Drosophila melanogaster: one gene and its partners. The protein of the gene in region 1 interacts with the protein of each later gene in a pairwise test. Each region holds a gene or a part of one and is shown in the gene's direction. Other genes may lie near its edges.

What was found.
Region 2: the proteins of Exo84 (region 1) and CG11248 interact in a two-hybrid assay, tested with the Drosophila melanogaster proteins (one large-scale study listed by BioGRID).
Region 3: the proteins of Exo84 (region 1) and IFT54 interact in a two-hybrid assay, tested with the Drosophila melanogaster proteins (one large-scale study listed by BioGRID).
Region 4: the proteins of Exo84 (region 1) and CG2182 interact in a two-hybrid assay, tested with the Drosophila melanogaster proteins (one large-scale study listed by BioGRID).

Annotation. Positions count from the first base shown.
Region 1 is NT_033777.3:26,049,199-26,054,158, reverse strand, and holds Exo84 (exocyst 84), read left to right. Parts: upstream 1-1,901; 5' UTR 1,902-1,929; coding exon 1,930-1,969; intron 1,970-2,029; coding exon 2,030-2,188; intron 2,189-2,241; coding exon 2,242-2,572; intron 2,573-2,626; coding exon 2,627-3,399; intron 3,400-3,458; coding exon 3,459-3,988; intron 3,989-4,043; coding exon 4,044-4,229; 3' UTR 4,230-4,428; downstream 4,429-4,960. Other genes in the region: Vps2 (vacuolar protein sorting 2), read right to left, coding at 412-869, 930-1,242.
Region 2 is NT_037436.4:21,678,120-21,683,751, forward strand, and holds CG11248 (uncharacterized protein), read left to right. Parts: upstream 1-1,930; 5' UTR 1,931-2,033; exon of another isoform or gene 2,034-2,113; intron 2,114-2,180; 5' UTR 2,181-2,187; coding exon 2,188-4,314; intron 4,315-4,375; coding exon 4,376-4,504; intron 4,505-4,560; coding exon 4,561-4,797; 3' UTR 4,798-5,112; downstream 5,113-5,632. Other genes in the region: Als2 (amyotrophic lateral sclerosis 2), read right to left, coding at 1-1,379; Sfp78E (seminal fluid protein 78E), read right to left, coding at 5,209-5,483, 5,546-5,632.
Region 3 is NT_033777.3:14,300,826-14,305,000, forward strand, and holds IFT54 (intraflagellar transport 54), read left to right. Parts: upstream 1-1,602; 5' UTR 1,603-1,630; coding exon 1,631-1,765; intron 1,766-1,829; coding exon 1,830-1,947; intron 1,948-2,006; coding exon 2,007-2,569; intron 2,570-2,634; coding exon 2,635-3,585; 3' UTR 3,586-3,633; downstream 3,634-4,175. Other genes in the region: red malpighian tubules, read left to right, coding at 1-193, 403-658; su(Hw) (suppressor of hairy wing), read right to left, coding at 3,983-4,175.
Region 4 is NT_033777.3:5,655,736-5,661,594, reverse strand, and holds CG2182 (uncharacterized protein), read left to right. Parts: upstream 1-1,682; 5' UTR 1,683-1,964; coding exon 1,965-2,060; exon of another isoform or gene 2,061-2,118; intron 2,119-2,887; coding exon 2,888-3,454; intron 3,455-3,662; coding exon 3,663-4,796; intron 4,797-5,023; coding exon 5,024-5,242; 3' UTR 5,243-5,359; downstream 5,360-5,859. Other genes in the region: Wdr33 (WD repeat domain 33), read right to left, coding at 1-56, 347-631; MED27 (mediator complex subunit 27), read right to left, coding at 5,390-5,834.

The DNA of each region.
Region 1 (4,960 bases):
TAGTACAAATTTAGGAAAGTACTTCTTTTTATTCAGATAAACACAATTTTGCATTTATAGTTAAAGCTGAATATATGTATATACATATATATATAATTTCATGATTTGGAAATTCCTTTTTCTTATTTTATTGAAGACAGGCATGAAACGTACATATCTTTTAAAATACCGAATATTGTATAGCTCTAAAGTAACAAGTATTGCGAATTTGTTTGTAGCTAGGCTGTGCGATTGCAGCACTACCCAGTTCTTTCCATTATAGCTTGTAAATGCTAATTACTCATCGATTTTTCAAACACGCAGGGAACGAAAATCACAAGCATTCTCTTTAATATAACATTCGCTTCTGGGAGATACAAACGGGTGGTGGCTCTTACATAAAGTGGACAGGCAGTGGTTCTTAGTAGCGGCTCAATCCTTGCGCAGCTTATCCAGGCGCGCCTGAAGATCCGCATCGGCATCGGACATGGGCGATGAGGCACCACTGCCACCGGGAGCTCCCGGACCACCAGCGCCGCCACCACTAGCTCCACCTCCGCCGGCGGCTCCACCGCCGCCAACGCCACCAGCGGCCACAGCCTGTGCTTTCTGAGCGCCAGCGCCGCCGGCTATGGAAAGGGAACCGGAGGCGGAAGGAAGGTCTCCCAGCTGTTCGCCCAATTGCAGACCCAGTTCGTCCAGCACCTGGGACACAACAGCATCCGTCTCCTCCTCGTCGCCCTCGTCCTCCATGGCGTCATCGATGGCATCGTTGATCATCTCCTCCTTCATGTCCATCATTTCCGACTGTTTCTCGAAGTCCTGCAGGATCTTCTGGATTTGCGGGAGATTCAGCTGGCGGTTCATGTTCTGCATGGCCTTCGTGACACCTGGAAGATAAGCATAATTGCTTGATAAGCGGGTGAATCAGCCAAATAGCCAATGTTTACCTTTCATGGCCTGTGCCATTGTGTTCTGCGACTTGAGCGTCTGAATTTTGAGGGACACCGCCTGGATGTTTGCCTTCATCAGCATGAACTTCTTGGCATACCGCCGCGTGCGCACCAGATCCTTGGCCATGATCTTCACGGCATCCATTTGACCCTCCTTGGCCATCTTCTTGATATCCGCGATAATCTTCTTCTCCTGCTGCTCCATTTTCATCCGCTCGCGGTCCAGATCTCGCATCGCTTTGTTGAGCGCCCGCTGATTCTTACGCAGCATCTCATCGGGGCTGATCTTCTTGCCGAATAGCCAGTCCATGTTTAAGGATATCTTAACTGCAAGATTTAATTACGAAGAATGACGGAGTTTCCTAAAGATTACTCATCAACCAAAACAATAAGCGAAGGGTGTGCGCGATTCTAAGGTGGCCAAGACGTGTTGGCGCTTACATGCGAATAGTGCTAGTGGGAAGAAGAAGCTTTGCCGGTGCACTCTGAAAGAACTGTTCACACTTCAACTTAGTGAATTAGCAACAGGTGGAAAATAATTTTAATTTATTACAATACAACACACACACATTGTAATGAATAGTATACATATAGACATATGTCTTCTTGATTTTTAACGTAGATCTTTGACGTAGTCGTTTATATTTAAAAGTTCAGTTCGAATAAAAAGTATTCAGGGCTTCAACGCCTAATCATACCTAAGATGAAAATCCGAAATGTAAATGCGAATAAATTTGTTGATCTCTAAAAGGTCTTTGACGTAGCCGTTCAGTTCGAATAAAACTTTTCATAGGTTTTAAATCTTAATTAATCTCCTATTACTTAAAACTAAATAAAAATGTTCTAGATTTATAGATTTATCTAATACCAGGGAAAACTGCAGTGAAAACATGGCATTTTCTATAGCATCAGCAACCTTACAATCGACACCTCATGATGACGCTCGTTCGTTGTGAATGGCTCTGCGTCAGCTGCAGTTTACATTCCAATCAGAATCATGAAGGAGTTCGACGATTTTAATTTTAGCGTTGAGAAATGTAAGTATTCCTATGTCTATTTAGCATTAATCAGTCTACTAATAAGTACAACGTTCCCAGATACCAAGGACCTGACACGAGAATGTGTGGGTGGCAGCGATTTGCAGCAGCGAAAAAAGGAAATCGAGGCCTACAACGAAACGACGGCAGCAACGCTCAAGCAAACATGCAAAAAGAACTATATGGAGTTTATACAGACGGCCAAGGAGATATCACGTAGTTTACGCCCCCCAATATCAATATACATTTATGTTAATATTTTCGCATCGCAGATCTCGAGTCGGAAATGTATCAACTGTCGCACATTCTGATTGAGCAGCGCAATATTCTGGCCACCATGACGGATGGCAAGACTTCCAGTCACCTGAAGGCAGAGAGTTTGGAGGCGGAGAGCACTACGGCGACGGAGGATCTGGAGAATAGCCATGCCACGCGGGCGGTCAAGGAAATGGTCCAGGGCTTCAATGGCAATCTGGAAGGCAAGACCTTCCTCAACGAGGGAGCTCTAATCGAGTTGGACAGTAATGATTATCGACCCATTCAAAGGGTCTTCTTTTTCCTCTTCAACGATGTACTGATTGTCTGCAAAGTGAAGCATGATAAGTAGGTTTTCCTATACTAAAGCATATAGCAAAAACTAATAGTAATATTTTTCAGGCGCTTGGATTTCCTCACCGAGTACGACCCCAAGAAAATAGCCGTGATTAACATTAAGGACTTGGATGGCGTTAAGAATGCCATTAATATCATTACTCCAGATGGTTCCAAGATCTATCAAAGCATCACGGCTGCTGGGAAGACGGAGTGGATAGAGAAGCTCGAAGAGGCCTTCCGCTTTGACCAGCAAAAGAAACCAAAAAAGGGCCAGGCGCCACAGCCTCCAACTCGGGCCAAACAGCAGTCAAAAGCTTCGACTCCGGAGAAGGAAACCACACCCCAGAGTCCCGGACAGCCCAAATCCCTGGAGGATGAGACGCCCGAGTGGCTAAGCACGGCCAGTGAAGAGATTCAGACCCTGGTGGCCCAACGGCATTTCGAGGATGCCCAGGAGCTGATAAAGCGAACCCAGGACTTCTTGCGAAACGAGAACCGAAAGAAGTTGCCACTAGCGGACGCCATTGAAACCAAGGTGAAGCAGCAGGAGCTGAAGCTGATCAATGTGCTGCTCAAGGAGTTGTCCAACAGTCACAATCGCAATCTGCAGATCGCTCTGAGAGCAGCCAAGCGGCCTCTGAAGATTCTCGTAGAGATGGGTCGCTATCGGCAGGCGAGTGCCACTCTGCTGAAGGTCTGCGCCGTCAGTTTGCGGGTGGCGCAACGGGAGGCGCGCAGGAATAATGCGGATATATCGGAACTCTTCTTTTGTGACCTGACGCAGGTGGCCTGTGATTTTCTCACCGCCTTTGAGAAGCAACCGGCGTGCGTTAGCGGTAAGCTTCATTCCTATTTCTGTCTACATTTAAGTATTACTACTATCTAATTCTTGCAGCGCTCGTGGTTTGGTGCAATGCGGAGCTGCAATATTTTGCCAGCCAACTGATAAAGCATTACCTGACCAAGGGAACCTCCCTGGAGTCAGTGGCCAAATGTGTGGAGCGAGTGCGCAAGCCCTCGACAAAGCTCACAGAGATCGGGCTGGACATTAGTTATCATTTGGAAGGTCTGTTGCGCACTACACTCGAGTCGCTCATAGAGGAATCCAAGGAGCGACTGCTGGACTCCGTGGGTCGCACCGAGGAGAGCTGGCAGCCGTACAATTTGCAGACCAAGTCGAACCTGAAGCGTCTGCTCCTGGAGCTCGATGTCTTGGGTATCGATGTGCGAGCCCAGGCGACGGGCGACACATGGATTAATCTCACCCAGTCGACAGTGGTTTTCATCAGACACTTCCTGCAGCTCACCGAGTACTGCGGCTGTCTGGCCAAGTGCGAAACCCTGCTGCAGAGCCTGGAACTGCTTCTTAAGGAGCTGTTCATTGCCCAGCATTCGTTGAAACCGCCCAGCGACATGGCCGTGGATGTAAGTTAGAAAGCAGCTTAAATAAAACCGCTCTCTTCAAGAATGCCATTTTCAGCCCAACTTTGTAATGAAGAACAAGATTTTTCTGGTGGACAACCTGCTGCCCATCGCCATCGACAAGTTTCGACAGATTTCTGGACGCCAGTGCGAGGGATTGCGCGAGTTGCACACGAAAATGTCCCGCCAGCAAGGTGCTCCAGTGCCGCGCCAGCGCAGCGTCTACACCACAGATGTGTTTTAGATGCACGCCGTGGGATTTACTTTCGATTACATATAATTTTTTATTTTTTCGTTTTGCTTCAATTATTTATAATATAATTATATACATATATAACCACAATAATAATAATATTTGTAAAATTAAAAATCGAAGCGTGTGCTGCACTCTATCTCTTGCTTATTACAATTTCGCCGCTCGCATTATATATATAATTGTAAATATATATAAATCGATTCGTTTTCTGTTTTTCATATATATACTCTAAACACTAAACAATTTAGCTGTGTTCTACTTTTCGGTTTCGGTTGTTGATGCGGCTCTCTCTGTGTTGGGTTTAGCTGCTCAAAATATAGGATTTTACACTTGGTTCTGAAGAGTTGAGTTTGATTCACACAATTAATTCCTCGATTTTCTCATTACACATTTTCTCAAATTACATACAAGCAAAGCGGACTGCTCTGAGCTTCTAACTACTGACCCCCAATGCGAGTGAGTGTTTCGAAAGTGGTTTCCGTGTTTAATTTATAATGTAAAACTCTTAACTAAAATGCTTACTAAGTATATTCATTTATAATTATATATATATATATATATATATACCTTTTATGCAAATGTGTTTTGTGTTTTTCGTATGTTGTGTTTGTGTGTGTGTGGTGTGTGTTTGGAGGGACGTTGGGAGGTAAGGAAACTGACAACTTAAAATTACATTTGTTGTTGCATTCGCTGTCTGACTTTTCAGCTAAATTACAAAA
Region 2 (5,632 bases), on another chromosome or scaffold:
CTGAGCGGCTCCAGTGCCGACTGTCTTTGCCAGATTTCGAGTGTTTGGACTGCCTGTCGATGCTTGAGAAGCAGTTGTAACTGTGACTGCAGATGACTCAGATAGTAGTGATACTGCCGCTGGAACTGCCTTTGGTTTTGAAGTGTGTATCCGCCAGAACACATAAGCAAACGTAGTTGTCTGGGCCACGCTGCTCCCAACTGAAGCTGGAGAAGCGTCTGCGCGTATGTGCTGGACTGCTGCAGATGTCGCATTGGAGGCGCAGGTTGAAGGGAATGTATTTGACCCGAGGCATTGAGCAGTAGTGTATGGTAGTCGCCGCAAGTCGCCTCAAGCGCCGAGTTTTGTTCTATGGGTAGTGCTGCCGTGTTTTCCGTAATTGTGATCTCCATGGGCGAGCTGACATCTTCACCCAACTGAGAGTGGTTGTTCAGGCCCCAGTGGTAGAGCCTTCCGTCCAGAGTGCGGGCCACCGTGTGCTCTAATCCAGCTGCAATGCTGCACACGCCCATGCTGTCTAGTTTCTGCAAGCGCATCACATTGGCCCTCCGGATATGATCCCCACTGCCCAGGAGACCATTATTGGAGGCTCCGAATGTGAAAAGTTGGGTGTGGAGCAGAGCGTATCCTTGGTGAAGAAGGTGCCTTGTGTTAGCCGCAACGCTGCGCTCCGAGTGGCCACTGCTTATGGATTTTACAGAGGCCCGTTCATCCTCGGGTTCTTCCTTCGCACTGGCCACCGACAGCTGGAGTGCATCGTCGGCCAGGTTGTAGGGAGCTACTAACATCACAAAGTGCTCGTTTCCGGCTGCTAAGTCCAACAGTTCCTTGCCCTCTTCGTAAAGGCGCATGTGCCGAGGCTGTTGTTCTGCCTTGAAGACTTCGCCGCAGCTGCCCATGACATAGGTCTCCCCACTAGCGCCGACGAAGACAACGCCCTGGGCGGAGCAGCAAACCCGTCGGATGCGTACGCCCTCAGCATGCAATTCGAGAGGGTCGAAACCGAGGGTTTGCCACGCATGTGGATGACCCACATCCCGGCCAGATCCCGTGGCTTGGCGCTGCACAGAGCCATTGGTGAGGACTACGAATAGTTCCTGACTGCCGGAGCAGAAGTCCATATCCACAACATCGGTACGCAGGAGTTGAAGATCCATGTGTTCGCGGTTGGCCTGCAGCTTGGCGGAGTAGAGGGCGTGGTCAGTGGTCAGAAGGAGCAGTTCCCCGCCGGCATTGCTGCAAATCCGGGATGCGGGAAACCGCTGCAGGGGCGGCAATCCGCGCCAGTGAAGCTGTAGCTCCCTGCCTTCATGATAGATGGTGAAGGACTCCCGCTCCTCCTGACCCCCAAGTGCCGAGTCATCCGCTGCACTGGCCATGATGTGCAAATTTTTGTTGGGGTTTTGGACAGGGCCAAAGCTTTGTAACACGACGCAATTGCTCGATTTGTCTGCAGGTCGTTCTCACATCGTGCACGTGCTCCGGTCCACGCTAGGCACTACTGGCACCAACGAACATCATATAACTTGATTCGGAATGCAACTCTAGCTGCCACGATAAAATAAATTCTGTTTTCACTTGTTCTTAACTGGCTAATAAGAATTCATGTTTTTGTGATGGTTTTTTGGATTAGTGTGACCAGCGCTATCGAGTCCCAATGAGAATTTATTAAGTAAGGGTGTTCGGGTAAAAGTGACGTTCTAAAATTGGGCTTATCACTATTTATTTGGTCCATGCAAATTGTTGTTTTATAACCAATTTTGAAAACACACATAATACCTTATACGTAAACTCAATATTGTAGTTAGCTAGAACTCTTATATAAATTTAAATAACTCCTTAGTTGCATTCGCCATAATCATGGAACCAGTCAACACAAAAAAGTTATTTTGGTATTTTTTTGCGATACATCAATTTGTTTTAATATGGTCATATTGTTTTTGCCATCAGCTGTTCGACTCAAAAGTTTTTGCATGTTTTGTTTATTTCGCTTAAAATGTAGTTTTATCGTTAATTAGGAAAAGTTACCCACGGTAAAAAAAAACAACCGTCAACAATTGTTCAGAAACATCAACTAGTACGACTCAGTGGACACCTCCGTGTGGTACTGCTGGTTTGCATACGCCCACAAAAGTTGTTTTAAGCCACAAACTCACCCTCCTAAAATAAAATTTTTTCAGCTCGGTTATGGATTTGGACTGCGAGGGCGCTACAGCTTTGGCTGACGACTCAGGGCACTTTAGCTGCACTAGCGATGATGGAGTAGGAGATCCTGCTCAGAAACCGGCGCCGCAGCCTGAACCGGACCAATCGATTTTTCTGGTGCGGCAAGAGCTGCTTCGGACGCGCAGTGAGGTGCAAAGGCTCTTAAAATCGGAGCAGTGGTACAAGCAGGAGCTTAAGTCCCAGAAGCACAGCAGGCTACAGACGCTAGAACGATTGTACGCACAGGAACGGAAGTATTTGATGGAGAACCAGAAGCTGCAGCAAGAATCGATCCGCCTGCACACACAATGCGCCACTCTGGAGAAGCAGCAGGAGCAGGGCTCACCATTTTCCCCTGGCTCATCGCCGTTTAAAGCAGACTCGGAGTCACACGACTCCTCTTTTGAGGCCAAACAGCAGGAGGCGCGCCTACGGGATCAGCGTCAGTTGATCGACGTGCTCCGAAGGCAAAAGAAGATGCTTCTGGACGACATCCAGAGGATCAGTCTGGAACACGATGAAAAACTTTCGCAGTTGCAGCAAACTGTTGTCGGCATGGAGCTGGAGAGCAAGCACGTGACTGGAAAATGCAAGCAACTACTTGACCTTAAAAGTCAAATGGAGCACCAGCTAGAGCTAAGAAGCACTACCCTACGCAGTGTCACCGCGGAGCGTGATCAGCTGCGCCAAGTCATTGCTGAGCTTAACGAGACGCTGCAAACGCAGGAGCATCTGTTAGCGCTAAAGGAACAGGAGTTCCTGGATTTGAAACAGTACTACCAACAAAAGCTGAAACGGGAGAGTAGCATGGAAATTATGCACTCTTATAGCATGAAATTTCACGAAGAGATCAACAGAAAAACGAGTGAAATTGCCAGCCTTAAGAATTCTCTTAACGAGCTTCAGGCCGAGCTGATGCTGATGTCTCACATGAAAGAGCAATGCGAGGAACAGCAGCGTCAGCTTGAGCAACTGGAGTTCGCATTGCAGGCACAACTTTTGGAGGAGACTCAACTTCGGCAAAGCAATGCTCTAAAACTGGAGCAGGTGGAAAATTTAACAATTTCTTTGGCTTCGTTACAACTAGATAAGGAAGGCTTAAAAGAAAATTTAGGTGAGGCGCAAAAGACCTTGAAAAATCTACAGCAGAAGGTGGACATTCTTCAAAAACAGTATGCCGAAATGTGCTCCTTGTGTCAAAAGACTAAACAGCAATTGGAACTGGAGAAAATCGAGATTGCCAAAATGAAGCAAAACGGTTCCTTAAAGGAAAGTGAGCTAATGGAGAAACTCAAAGATTATGCAGCGCAGTGTGATGAGCTGAGAAAAGCGTTGGCCGAAGCAGAGTCCCGTATCGATGTCCAAATCAAAAAGACAGAGGGCTGGCAAGTGCAGTTGAAACACAACCAAGCGACCCAAACGGACCTCGAAGATCCGATTTTAGTTCAACGCATTGAGACTTTGGAACAACAACTAGCGGATGTCAGGAGCCAAAAATTGCACACAGTTTCGCTGCTCCAAATACTGCTTCAACAGCAAGAAGCTAAAATCAAGAGCACTAACGAAATGGAAGCAGACTGGCAACAACTGTTAGATGCTCTGCAAGCTACTCAAAGCTTGGAGCAGGAAATGCGATCAGAACTACAGCATAAGACGGTTGAATTGGAGCACCTGAATGAATTGTTCGCTGGACAAAATGATGAACTGCAAAAGCTCCAGAAATTGAGCCAAGCGCAGGACGAGGAAAATCGACTAGAGTTACAGCTTTTGAAGAAAACATTCCAAGAGAATCTGAAGATAAACTCCGCTGCGTCGATTAACATGCAAAGGCTGCAAGGCCAGGTAAAGTCTTTGCTAGATGAGAAGGAGGAAATTGCGCGAGAAGAACGCAAAGCAGTAGAGTGTTTGCGATCTCTTGGTCACGTTCTTGAGATGGAAACAGGAAGGAGGCTACCACATATAAAAAGCTGGCCTCAGTTGGCCAAAATTCTTCGAAAGGAACTGCGAAATGGGAGGGTTAACAATCGAAAGGCTGAAGAGCTTCCTGGGCTTAAAATGAAGCTGGCGGAGATCAGCGGAAGGCATCAGCAAGCTTTGTCAAAAATTAAGGTATGTTATGTCTTACTCCCTTAAAGTAACTCTTTGTAACACAATTAATTGCTTTTTACAGTGTCTGGAGCACACTTTGGTAATGGAGCGAGCGCGGTTTGAGGCCTCGGACTCGGGCAAATCGACGGCTAGCAACACGCCCCAGGAACCCGCCCATGAAGTGGCTAATCTTATTGATGACTACAAGAAGGTAAGTATGTTCCCCTCCGATTGGCTTCTCTTGACATTTCCTTAATTGATTTACAGCTCGTTCAGCAAACCGCCAATGAAACATGTCGCCCTCGCAACAGCTTCATATTCGATCTGATTGAGCGGAGTCAGCGATGCCAACCGAATTTGTGCCAATTAGGCGAGGGTATTTCCGCCTGCCAGTCTGATATGAAGGAGCTAAGCAGGATTATTATTGCTGGTCGGGAACGGAGGAGAGTGGAGCCCATGCCCTCCCTCATGGATGAACTTCGAGCGGTGGCCGAGCACTCTTAGACGAGCATAATTTAGTTTTCAGTCAAATACTTATAAATTTCCTATTTAGTACCTATTTGTTTAGTCTCAAATTTTGTTTTCCTAAAAGGGGCAATTAGTGAATTGAGTTTTTGTGCCTAGTCTCATAGGCCTAATTTTCAATCAGATCCAACTTAGTTCAATTTATATAAATATTTATTTTGTTGTCTTTTGTGTTCGTTATCTTTATTTATGTGTAACGCATTCTGTTAGTTTCACCAATTCTATATACATACTAATTGCCAAACTATACCAATATTTTTTCTACAAGATATATAAACCATTGTTGGTTGCCACAAAAATGTGTAATTATTTTTATAGTCCATAACATTTAAAGTTAAAAACCTTGTGTAGATAAAACATATTTGTGTGAAGTCGATCAGTGCACATCATTTACTTTCGTGGGCACCTAGGGATTTTAGTACCATCGTTCTCCGAAATAACTTCCTTTTTGTCATATATCGTATTTCCGTTTTCATCCACGTCCAGAACTTCCTGTATTACCCCTTTTCGAGTTCGTGTTATCCCACACATAGGCTTATCGTTTTTATCCATGCACAAAATCAGGAGCTCAGTGTGCTGTAGATCAGAGGGCTTTAGGACCTTTGTTACCTTACAAGATGCCGTAAACTTTATGGGGCACGTCACCCCGGCACATTGCCAACCATCTGGGGGGAAATAATTATTAACATAGATGTTCCAATACTACTCGTATCCATGTAATCCATACACTTAGTCTTCTTTACCGTCGCTCGATTTAAGTCCTCATTTAGGTGCCGATCTCCGTCTGCCTTAAAATAAATGTACGATCCATAAT
Region 3 (4,175 bases), about 12 Mb from region 1:
TGGTGCAGGCCGGCGACGAGGATCCATCGATGATGCACGGCCACGGTGGTTGCAGCGGCAAGCAGAGCAAGAGCCTGGACTCGGTGGCCGCAATGACGCCCGAGGAGGAGAACAGGAAATGCATGAACGACTTCCTTAACAAGATAGACAACACCATTTCTGAGTCGCGCAAATATGTGGAGCGCTCTAAGGAGTAAGTATTTCCACCACTCAAAAGAGACCCAATCAATCAACATTTAAGATCATTCAGCTGTCAATATTGGTATTTAAATCAATTAATCATAATTTGATAAGCTGACAGAACCAATAGAAACTGGAAGTGATAGGTGATGAAGTGATGAACGAGTCGCTAGCTTGTAGAATTCTATCTACATCAACTAATCATTTGCTTATTCCTTCCAGCCTGGTCAGCAGTCAGAGTGATGCGGACATCTGCATCAGTGCCACCGCCGACGTTTTCCCGCAGCGCCGCCATCCGCTGAACAACTCCTACAAGACCAACAACAACGACCGTCCGTCGCAGTATCAGCGCCACAGCTCGACGGGCAGCGGGAACTCCTCGGATACGGCGCACCTGCTGAACACGACGCAGACGCGACGAGTCCAGAATTCGCTGAAGCGGCTGGAGAAGCAGCAGGACGACTTCTTTGAGTTGTAGCGTCCGTCTGCGGGACGCAATCTAGCCTAATTACGCAGAGAGTTAATTTTACAATTCGTTTTTAATTGCCGCGCATTGGGGAGATGACTTTGGTCAGCATGTTACATCACACGGAAATGCCGCACTCTAAATGTAATATAAATAATGATATCTATCGACAAATATGCGCGATACCTTACCTATACGATAAAACATTAATGTAACTGAGCTAAAACCTAAACTAAACTATATACCTAAACTAAGCGCTGCGCTATGTAAACCTGTAGTACGATGACAAGGCAGTTCTGTAAACCCATTTTGATCTTGTGTCAGCCCTGTATAATTGCCGCCAATTTGCTTGCAAGATCCGATCTGAACCGCATCGAACAGATACGGAAGCCTTCTGTCCTCCTGTCCGCCCTCCTGCCCCCCATTATGTTTACTTTTTGTATGACTCTAGCTTTAATCACACTGTGTATAATTTAGTTATGAGAATTATTAATGTTAATTGTATATAGTCGCCAGAAAACACAACAATCCAACTGGACTGCTCTGACCGCTAAAACACGAAATTGGCCAACTGTTGACGTGTAATTTTAATTTATTTTTTAGCTTTCCAAAGTATTAAACCCGAAACGTTCTATATAAAACCGTAACCTCAATTGTTAAACAAGCATCCACCACAAAACAATATATACACCAATATATATTATGTATATCCCAGAAACCTCAATATCGAACTGCACTCATATCGAGCCAAGTCATGTTGTACGTGAGAATGTTTTTTAAAATAAAGTGAGAATTGTGTTGGAACAAATGCTGTGGGTTTTAGTTATGAATGAACCTGCCACTAGCTTCGAACTGCCCATGGAAGCGATGGTTGGTCACTGTAGGGAAGTTCACCTGTTTGGTTGCCAGGACAACGTAGCCGGGCCAAACAAAGAAAACCGAAAGGATAGTTAGCCACATTTCAATTGAGAACGTGTGACGAAGATGTCGGAAAAAGATCTGGATGCGATTATTTTGGAGACCCAAAAGGTTTTGGGCAAGTACATCAAAAAGCCACCGCTCACGGAGAAGCTGCTGAAGAAGCCGCCATTCCGATTTCTAATGGATGTCTTTAGTAACGTAAGTGGTTGGAAATCCCTCACCCCTATAAAAAGATTGAAAGTTGAGCCTCATTTGTGGACAGTTTATCAAGCAAAGTGGCACATTTGATGGATTATACACGCCGGAAGAGCAGATGTTCGAGAACATAACCAGTCGGGAGGATAAGATTCGATTTCTGCAGAAGATGATCGATGCAACCAGTGAGTTTGGCTTACAATGCTGGTGCTCTGAATTAGCTACAAGGTGTTTGCTTTCGCAGAACTAACAACCAAACTGGATCTCAAAGTACGCACTTCAAAAATAGTTGCTGGCCAGGAACCGGAGCTCACCAATGAGCTCCTCCAGGCGATGGCCAGTGTTGCGGAAAAGAACTTGGAGTGGGACAGCATTGTGGATCAGGTGGTGATTTCCCACAGCAAAACACCACTGACGCTTACCAAGCCACCGAAGGAAACTAAAAATTCAAGCAAAAATCCCTCACCCGCCGGCAAGGATGAGGATGCAAAGCGACGCAAGGAGAAACGTATATCGCCTCAAGAGCAGAAGCTGCGCAAGGTCAAAGAACAGGTGTCCCGTTCTACTCCCCCCACCGAGAAGGATAAAGCATCCCAGAAGAAGTCCAAGGCACCCAAGGATGAGACGAAGTTAAGTCGACAAAACTCGAAGCAAAAGAGTCCGTCACCAGTTAAGCAGAAGTCCAAAGCCAAACTGCAGCCTTCAACAGAGAGCGATAATCTTAGCCAGTCTATGTCGCCAGTGGAAGAAGGATCAACCAAGCCTGCTGCAAGCGAAAGTGCTCCAAGCAAACCAGAGCCGGAAATGGTAAGAAAAATAAGTTAATTTGCTTTAAAATTAGAAATCCATAAGTTATGCGTATACCCAAACAGGTTCCTCCATTAAAAGAGAAGGAGGCAGTGGTGAGACCTGTCCAGGAAACTCCAACTGCTCCACCAGCTGAGCCTGAGAGTCGCAAATCCTCTAGCAGAAGTCGCCGTTCTAGTGGCAGCCACAGGCAACCGGAACCTAATCCCATTCCCAATGAGAGCCAATCCCAGCCAGCGGTGCAGTCGTCAGAAACCAGCTCTCCACCGGAGACCAACAGCGGCGAAGCGAAGCGGGAGGTTCCCCTCACCAGAGAGAACTCTAAGGAAGTGAATCAACGGCCCAGAACCTCACTTAGACCTCCATCCGCTCGACCCGCCTCCGCACGTCCCGGAGCTCCACGACGTCGCAATGTGGAGATCGTGCTCCAGCCAAACGATCAGATCAAAATGTCGGGCATAAATGTAAAGCTTGAAACCTTTGGCGACTTGGACGACGACGGAGAGAACCTGGTGATCATAGAAGATTCCGCCGCCCATGATATTGTCGAAGGTGGCGGTGACGAACCGGCATTGGAAGGACAGCTCGATGCCCAGGGACGATTGGTGCAGCAGATCTTGGAAACGCAAAAGGAACTGGTCAATCAAGGCGCCGAAGTGGAACCGCCTCCAGCACAGGCAGGCCGACAAACTTCTGCGCGCCAGGTGAACGACGTACGCGACGTAGTCCAAAAGCTCACCAAGTCGATAGGTCCGCTGGGTAAACTACTGGACTGCATACCCGAGGATTTTGATGCAATGCAGCTGGAGCTTACGATGTGGCGCGACACCTACACGCAGGCATCCACGGAACTAAAAAGGGAGCAGACTCTCACGGCATCTGCCACGGAGCCCCTGCAGCATCAGTTGCAGCAAATCCAAGCCAGCATTGCGGAGTACCGGGAGCTAATCGACGAGAGTCGCCACAAGATCTTGCAAAACAACGCACGTATTCTGAAGTTGATGATGGAACAGTAAGCATTGAGGATTAATAAGCATTGTTAAAAATTCAAGAGAGTTTTATCGAAAATATTGAATTTGTATATTTTATAATTAATAAGAGTACTATAAAAATAGCCATGCATATATTGCTTGGTAACATCATTCAATTCAAAAATATATAAAATCTATATAATAATATCAAAATATCTTTGATATGTAATATGTTGGTTTGTTTGTTTTTGGGTAATTTGTCAATGCGCAAGATGTCTGAATATTCAAGCAACAGACGGTAAGTTTCTCTTTTAAGGTCACTTGGTGTTTGTACCAAAACCAACGATCTTAAAAATACAAATGTTGTAAAAATCATCAACGATCAATTCCTAGAATATGGTTTTTGTGCGGTAATTGTACGCATGCATCAAGGGCTGGAAAATCAAGCTTTCTCTTGTTCGCCTACAGGTTTTTTCTTATTTTCCCGGACCACCTCCTCTGAGTTATCCTTATCCACAGCTTTCCCCACGATCTCCTTCTTTTCAGATTTCGCCGAAACTTCCTTCTTTTCCGGTTTCTCTCTGATTTCATTTGTTTTAGTTTCGCCTGTGACCGACACCGCTTCTTCATCACCT
Region 4 (5,859 bases), about 20 Mb from region 1:
ATGCTGTCCGGCTGCAAAGCCAAACGGTCCCGATAGTCCCGCTGGTACAATCGGTTCTGCGAAAACAAAAATATATTTTTGAAATTTTAAAATGGGATATCGACATAACAAGGTCCGAAACTAATTAAAAATGGTAGCCCAGGTAACGGGCTTACCGCGTATTAACCTACAAAATGTTATAGCGATTGGCCTTTTAAATGTGTAGCTCTAGTAATGGTTTTTGAAATGAACTTTTTTAATGGGGGTGAATTGATCTTATAATAATAATAACAATACAATTCTCTGCGACTACAAATCAAAACTTCGCAGTCAATCTACTTCCATTCTAAATGACCTATGGAATCACCTCCAGTGCCTTGATGATGGACGCGTTGTAGTCAACTGTCTTCCGCATCACACTTTTTCGCAGTCGCTTGCCGTCGAAGTCGTCCTGGGACATTCCGAAGGGTCGCTGGAAGCCGCCGGGCATGAAGGGTTTGAACTGGTTGTAGCCGTGCTTGTTGGACCCATGGTGCGGATGGTAGTGACGGTAGTGCTGGCCGCCCATGTTCGGCGGGGGCAGCGATGTGAAGTTGGTGGCCAGGGCCGAGGGCGCCGTGAGCAGCTGCGGTGGCGGCTGGGATACGTCCATGTTGCGGCTGTTTTTTCCAATGCCTCTTTTTCCGCTTGGCTGCAAAAAATGTCTTCGCCCGCACACAAACACACACACAGATGAAGGCGTAGTGGGCGTATTAGTTGGACGCTATTACCCACGCAAAGCTCTACTTACTCGTGTTTTCTAGAGTGTTGGCATTGGCGCGGTGGTGGGTGTACTAATGCTTAGACTAAATAGGTAAAAACGACCTGCAAATCGCCGCGTTGCAAATAACTAGTAACTTTCCGAACAACGCGAATTTGAGGAATTCACGACGAAACGCGGACACCAGCGTGTGCTTCGATTGCAATGTTATCGATATATAACAGCAGTCAGGAGTTGAATCAATTTTATTTATCTTTATGGCCTTACAATTTAATTGTCAGTTTTATGCATGCTTATCTTATTTCTTTGAAAGATTTGTAAGAGTTGTCACCACTGTTTTTCTCAGGTTCTTATTTATTTTTTCTTAATAATATTTAAAAACTAAACATTCAGCAAAAATTGGTTCTTCTGATCTCGATATGTTTGTGGTAGCGATAGTAGCGTAGCGATAGTAGCGTAGCGATAGTGTGCTGCCAGACAGGCCTATCCAACTAATTTTAAATTATTGAATAAATAAATCATATTTTTTATTTTTAGTTTTAGTTTACTTACGGTAAATGTACTTTGCCTCCGCTAGTTACACAGTCACCAGTTTTAGGTTTTCTTTATCAGCATTCAGCAAAGAATACATTATTCTTACAATATTTTCTGGAAATAATTTTCAATCAATAAAAATAGCCGTTAAGAAAAGTGAATGACAGTAATGCGACTAAGAGATTCGAATGCTACGAATATTAATGCGGGTATTTGACTGAAAAACCACTGACTAACTTATGTTTACATTTTAAGATGCAAGTCCGAAAATATAATGAAATATTCGAAAAATATATTGTGTTCACGATCTTAGGCAGATATAATATCGCGATATAAATACTAATATATCGCTTGGATACCTCGATACATTGATATATTATCAACACCCCCTACTGGCAACTCTGCTCCGTTTTAATGGCGACCGGACCGACTTGCTGCCTACTACGTGTTTGACATAGAAGACACTTTTGTAGCCGATTCTAGAGCGTTCCCAAAGCCACTCGAACTGCGCAGAGAGTGGATATTGTTGTCAAAACACTATTTGTGAATACGCACGCTGCTGCCATACGCCAGTCGATTCTGATCTCCATTTCCCACACCCGGACCTCTAGAGAAAAGTGTGTGTCTGTGTCGCAAAGTGCCTGAATTTTCGTTTTGCCCGTCGTTGGCTCGCGAAGTCAAATTACCCATAATGGCCAGACTCACAAAGGTCTACAACACGGACGACGACGACTCCGGTTACGTTGGTCGCAGAAATTTGCCCCTGGTGGCTGGCGATAAATTAATGGTAAGCATATATCCGCACCGATTTCCGCTATATGTACGGCCGTCTATCCAAAGAAAATGACTGCCAGCAGAGAACACACGTACACAGACGCACACACAACAGAGACGTCCGCTGTGAGTGTGTGCGTGCACTTGGTCCAAAAACTTTCATAACACGGCGGATTGTTATGTGTAAGTGGCGGATGGTGACGAAGTGTGAGTTCGCTTCTCTTTGCTTTGAATTGGTGTGTATCGTGCATTTATTAATTGAACTTGAGCTGCAATTATGATTCTGCACCTGTCACCACCCACCGAACTCTTCTTTCTCCGCCTCCCTGGCCACGGCCGCCATGTTGCTGGAAAGTGCAACAACACGAACCTGTTTGTATGCACATCGCATGCACTCCGTCACCATCTCTAGAGGTGATGATCTCTCAGGCTCAGATTCTCTGGCCAAAATCTCTAGTTAATGACATCGGTTGCACACCCGACCCCTATTGTTATCGATACGTTTGAAGGTGGATTTATGCCAGTGTCCAGAGCTCCGTTAGTTTTTTCAAAGAACAGCTGTTGTTTTGTATGTATTGTATGTTTTCTCGGATTATTATATTTAATGCAAACAATTAGACGTTATATTAATACTGTCGGTCATTTCACCGCAAATATCATTGGATCGCGATCCTAATTATTTATTTACTTACAGCGTTGGATAAAAGTTCTTTATAATACTAATGTAAACATATCAGTTGTTCTTTGCTAACTAGTGCATTCGATCAAATAGATCAGATACTCACAATACCATTTATGTACCATAACCTCCCCTGATTAAATTCTCTACTTTCTCTGCAGATGCTCATGGACCTGAACAGCAAAGGTCTAGTGATCGACAGTCCGCTGATCCGCGGACGTGAACTGGAGGAGTTTTCACGGAAATTCAAACTGCTCACAGAGGCCGAGCGCCGGCAATCGCTGGAGATCGACAGTGCCAGTTTTATGGAAGTCCTCAATCAATGTGTCCAGTGCGTTGGCTGCCGCAGACGCGTAGAGCGGTTGTTTCACCAACTAACCGAGACGGGGCACCGAACACTTGATCCGCTGGAACTGCGACCCACTGCCACCCTGGGCATTGTGGAGGAGAAGCTTAAGACTCCGCAGGCACTGGGAACGCTGCTCTACCGGCACCATGAGGTTCTCAACAACCTGCTGGACAACAAACTGCGAAACAAGACGCGCTGCGTTCTTCATTCGCTGGACGCCTTTCGTGCCAAACCCTTTTCGGAGACATGGCGAGAGGTGTGGTCCGCCATGAAGAGTAACTGCCGCAACGAGTTAACCATCATCGAGACAAAGGAATTGCACGACGTACTGGAGAACTACCTGAAGAAGCACAAGTTTTGCTCTGGCTGCCGTACAAAGGTTAGATATAGGATATTAAAATTAATGACCTGAATTGATTCCATTAGTTTGCTAATGTGAGTTAATTAAAACAAATACTTGGACGCTTTTAGTTTTCAAAGTTATAATGCAGTTCTTCATACAGTTTCGGAGCTGACTATCAAAATATCCTAAAAAATTGATTACATTACAATATTATTAAACAAACTTCTTCTCACTTTTCTTGCAGATTGAGCGCGCCTACAAAATACTCATTGGTGAAATATCGTCCAAGGAGAAGGGCTATGCGGCCCAGTTGTACGCTCATATTCGGAAGTGCGTGCCCGACCAGCACATCCACGTGACCACAAACAAGATAGAGTTCCTGGACGCGCTGATCAAGCGGGCCGAGCCCGAGGTGAACGGTAGCTACTCTAAACTGCGCGAGCGCCACGCTAAGACGCTGGAGATTGCCCAGGAAGAGGTGCTGACCTGCGTGGGCATGATTATGTACGAACGGCTGCGTCGCATCTACGTCAGTCTGCGGGAGGAGGAGCGCGCATGCCAGGTGCTGGCCGCTGTGGGTGTCCACGCCCTTTGCCGCAGCTTTGACACGTTCGTGGAGCAGAAGCAGGGAATCAGCAATCTGGAGCTACTCTACCAAGAGATCAGCCGTGCTGAGAGGGCCAAGCAGATCAAGCGCGAGCAGAAGAAGCTCAAGAAGAAGAAGAAGAAGGACGAGAAAAAGAACTTGCTGCACCGGCAATGCGACGATACCGAGGCCAACGAGTCTGACGAGGAGGAGGAAGAGTTGCGGAATGAGGAACTAGACCTGGAGGAGGAGAGTCAGATGCAGCATGAGGAGCTAAGCGATCCAGGTGCGGACGATGGCATTGTTATAGAGGCAGCCCGGAGCCCGGAGCCCGAACCCGAGCTAACGTCCAAGCCAACGAAATCGAAACCGAAGAAGCAATCGAAGAAAAAGAAGCAGAAGAAAGCGGCCTTCACAAAGATGGGCAACCAAAAGCAGATGCAAGCCACGGCTAGGGTCCAGCCGCTGGATGCTGATCACGATCAACTTGACGTGGCCAGTTGCATTTCGTCAAGCATCGCCAAAACGGTTGGCGATAAGTGCGAGGAGTGCCTGGCGTCCATGCCTAACTGCCCGTGCGAGCAGGATGTGCGCGATTCTGGATACGGCAGCGATCCACCTTCGCATGCCGGCTCTCGGACATCTAGCGCGATTTCGTCACCAGAAGGCTCGGAAGTGTCTTGCTCGGATGGACTGTGTAATCACGACGTCCACGATGAGGACTCAGACGACTTGCTCTTCTACAGTCACCAGTCGCAGTTGGATCACAAGTTTTCATTGTTGCAGATGTGGGTGAGTCGCAAGATTGTCTCTATAAAAATAGGAAGTGGAAAAATAGAAAAAGAAAATTGTAATTATTGTTTTTTAAACATAATCTAAGACTTGCGGCAAGCCCTGTCGACTCTTATCATCAAGAGCTTAGGGTCGGAATTAATTACCAGAAAATATTCTAGACAGAGTGGGCTATGCAAATGATTTGCCATATCGAAATTAAAGTAATAAAACTTTATTAATTGCAGGACGACTTCGACGAATACGACGACAAAGACGAGGAGACATATTACATTCCCCAGGAGGTGGTTATGGCCTTCAAGTGCCACCGGGAGCAAGTGCAGCGAAAGCGAGAGGAGCTCCGCGCAAAACTGCGCGCCAACTTCGAGCGACTGTGCGTGCAGCACGGCGTTCAGACGCAGGTGCAGAAATCGAAGCGGACGACTTCTGCACTGGTTGGCCAATGAAACGCATTAAACCGTTGTAGTTATTCAGTCGGGCGCAGCGATTTTAAAAAATCCGCCCGCATGCATTCAAAGTACATATAATTTTTGTTTTTGAAATAAATGAAGTATACAAGTTACAACTATCGGCGTTAAATTACTTAAAAATCCTTAGCAATTTCGGCAGTCCTCGTGGAAGGGTTCTAGAGTGCGCAGGTCCCGCCACGTCGGAGGCAATCCGTTCACCACGAATTTCCCACAACGCTTGCAGGGCTCCAGGAAAAGTTTGACGTGGCTGTTCAGCCAGGTTATATAGCTTTTCACTGCCAGATCGGGCAACGTCGGCGAAAAGAAATGCAGCATTGCTGAGTGAGCATGATCCTGGACTTTGCGGAACACCTCGTAACGTGACTCGGCCCACAGGTCGTCATGCTCCAGCGGCTCATCGAATCCCTTAACCGTAACCCACTCTATAAGCACTCCTTTGAAGACAATAGCCGCCTTCATCACGTTACTTATTGTTACGATGGTGACAGCGTTTGTGCCGAAGGGACGAAAAATTCTGTACGAAGTATGCGGAGGGGTGTTGATCTCACTCAGGAGCTTATCTATGTGGCTAAGAATCAGAGGAAGAAAGATGT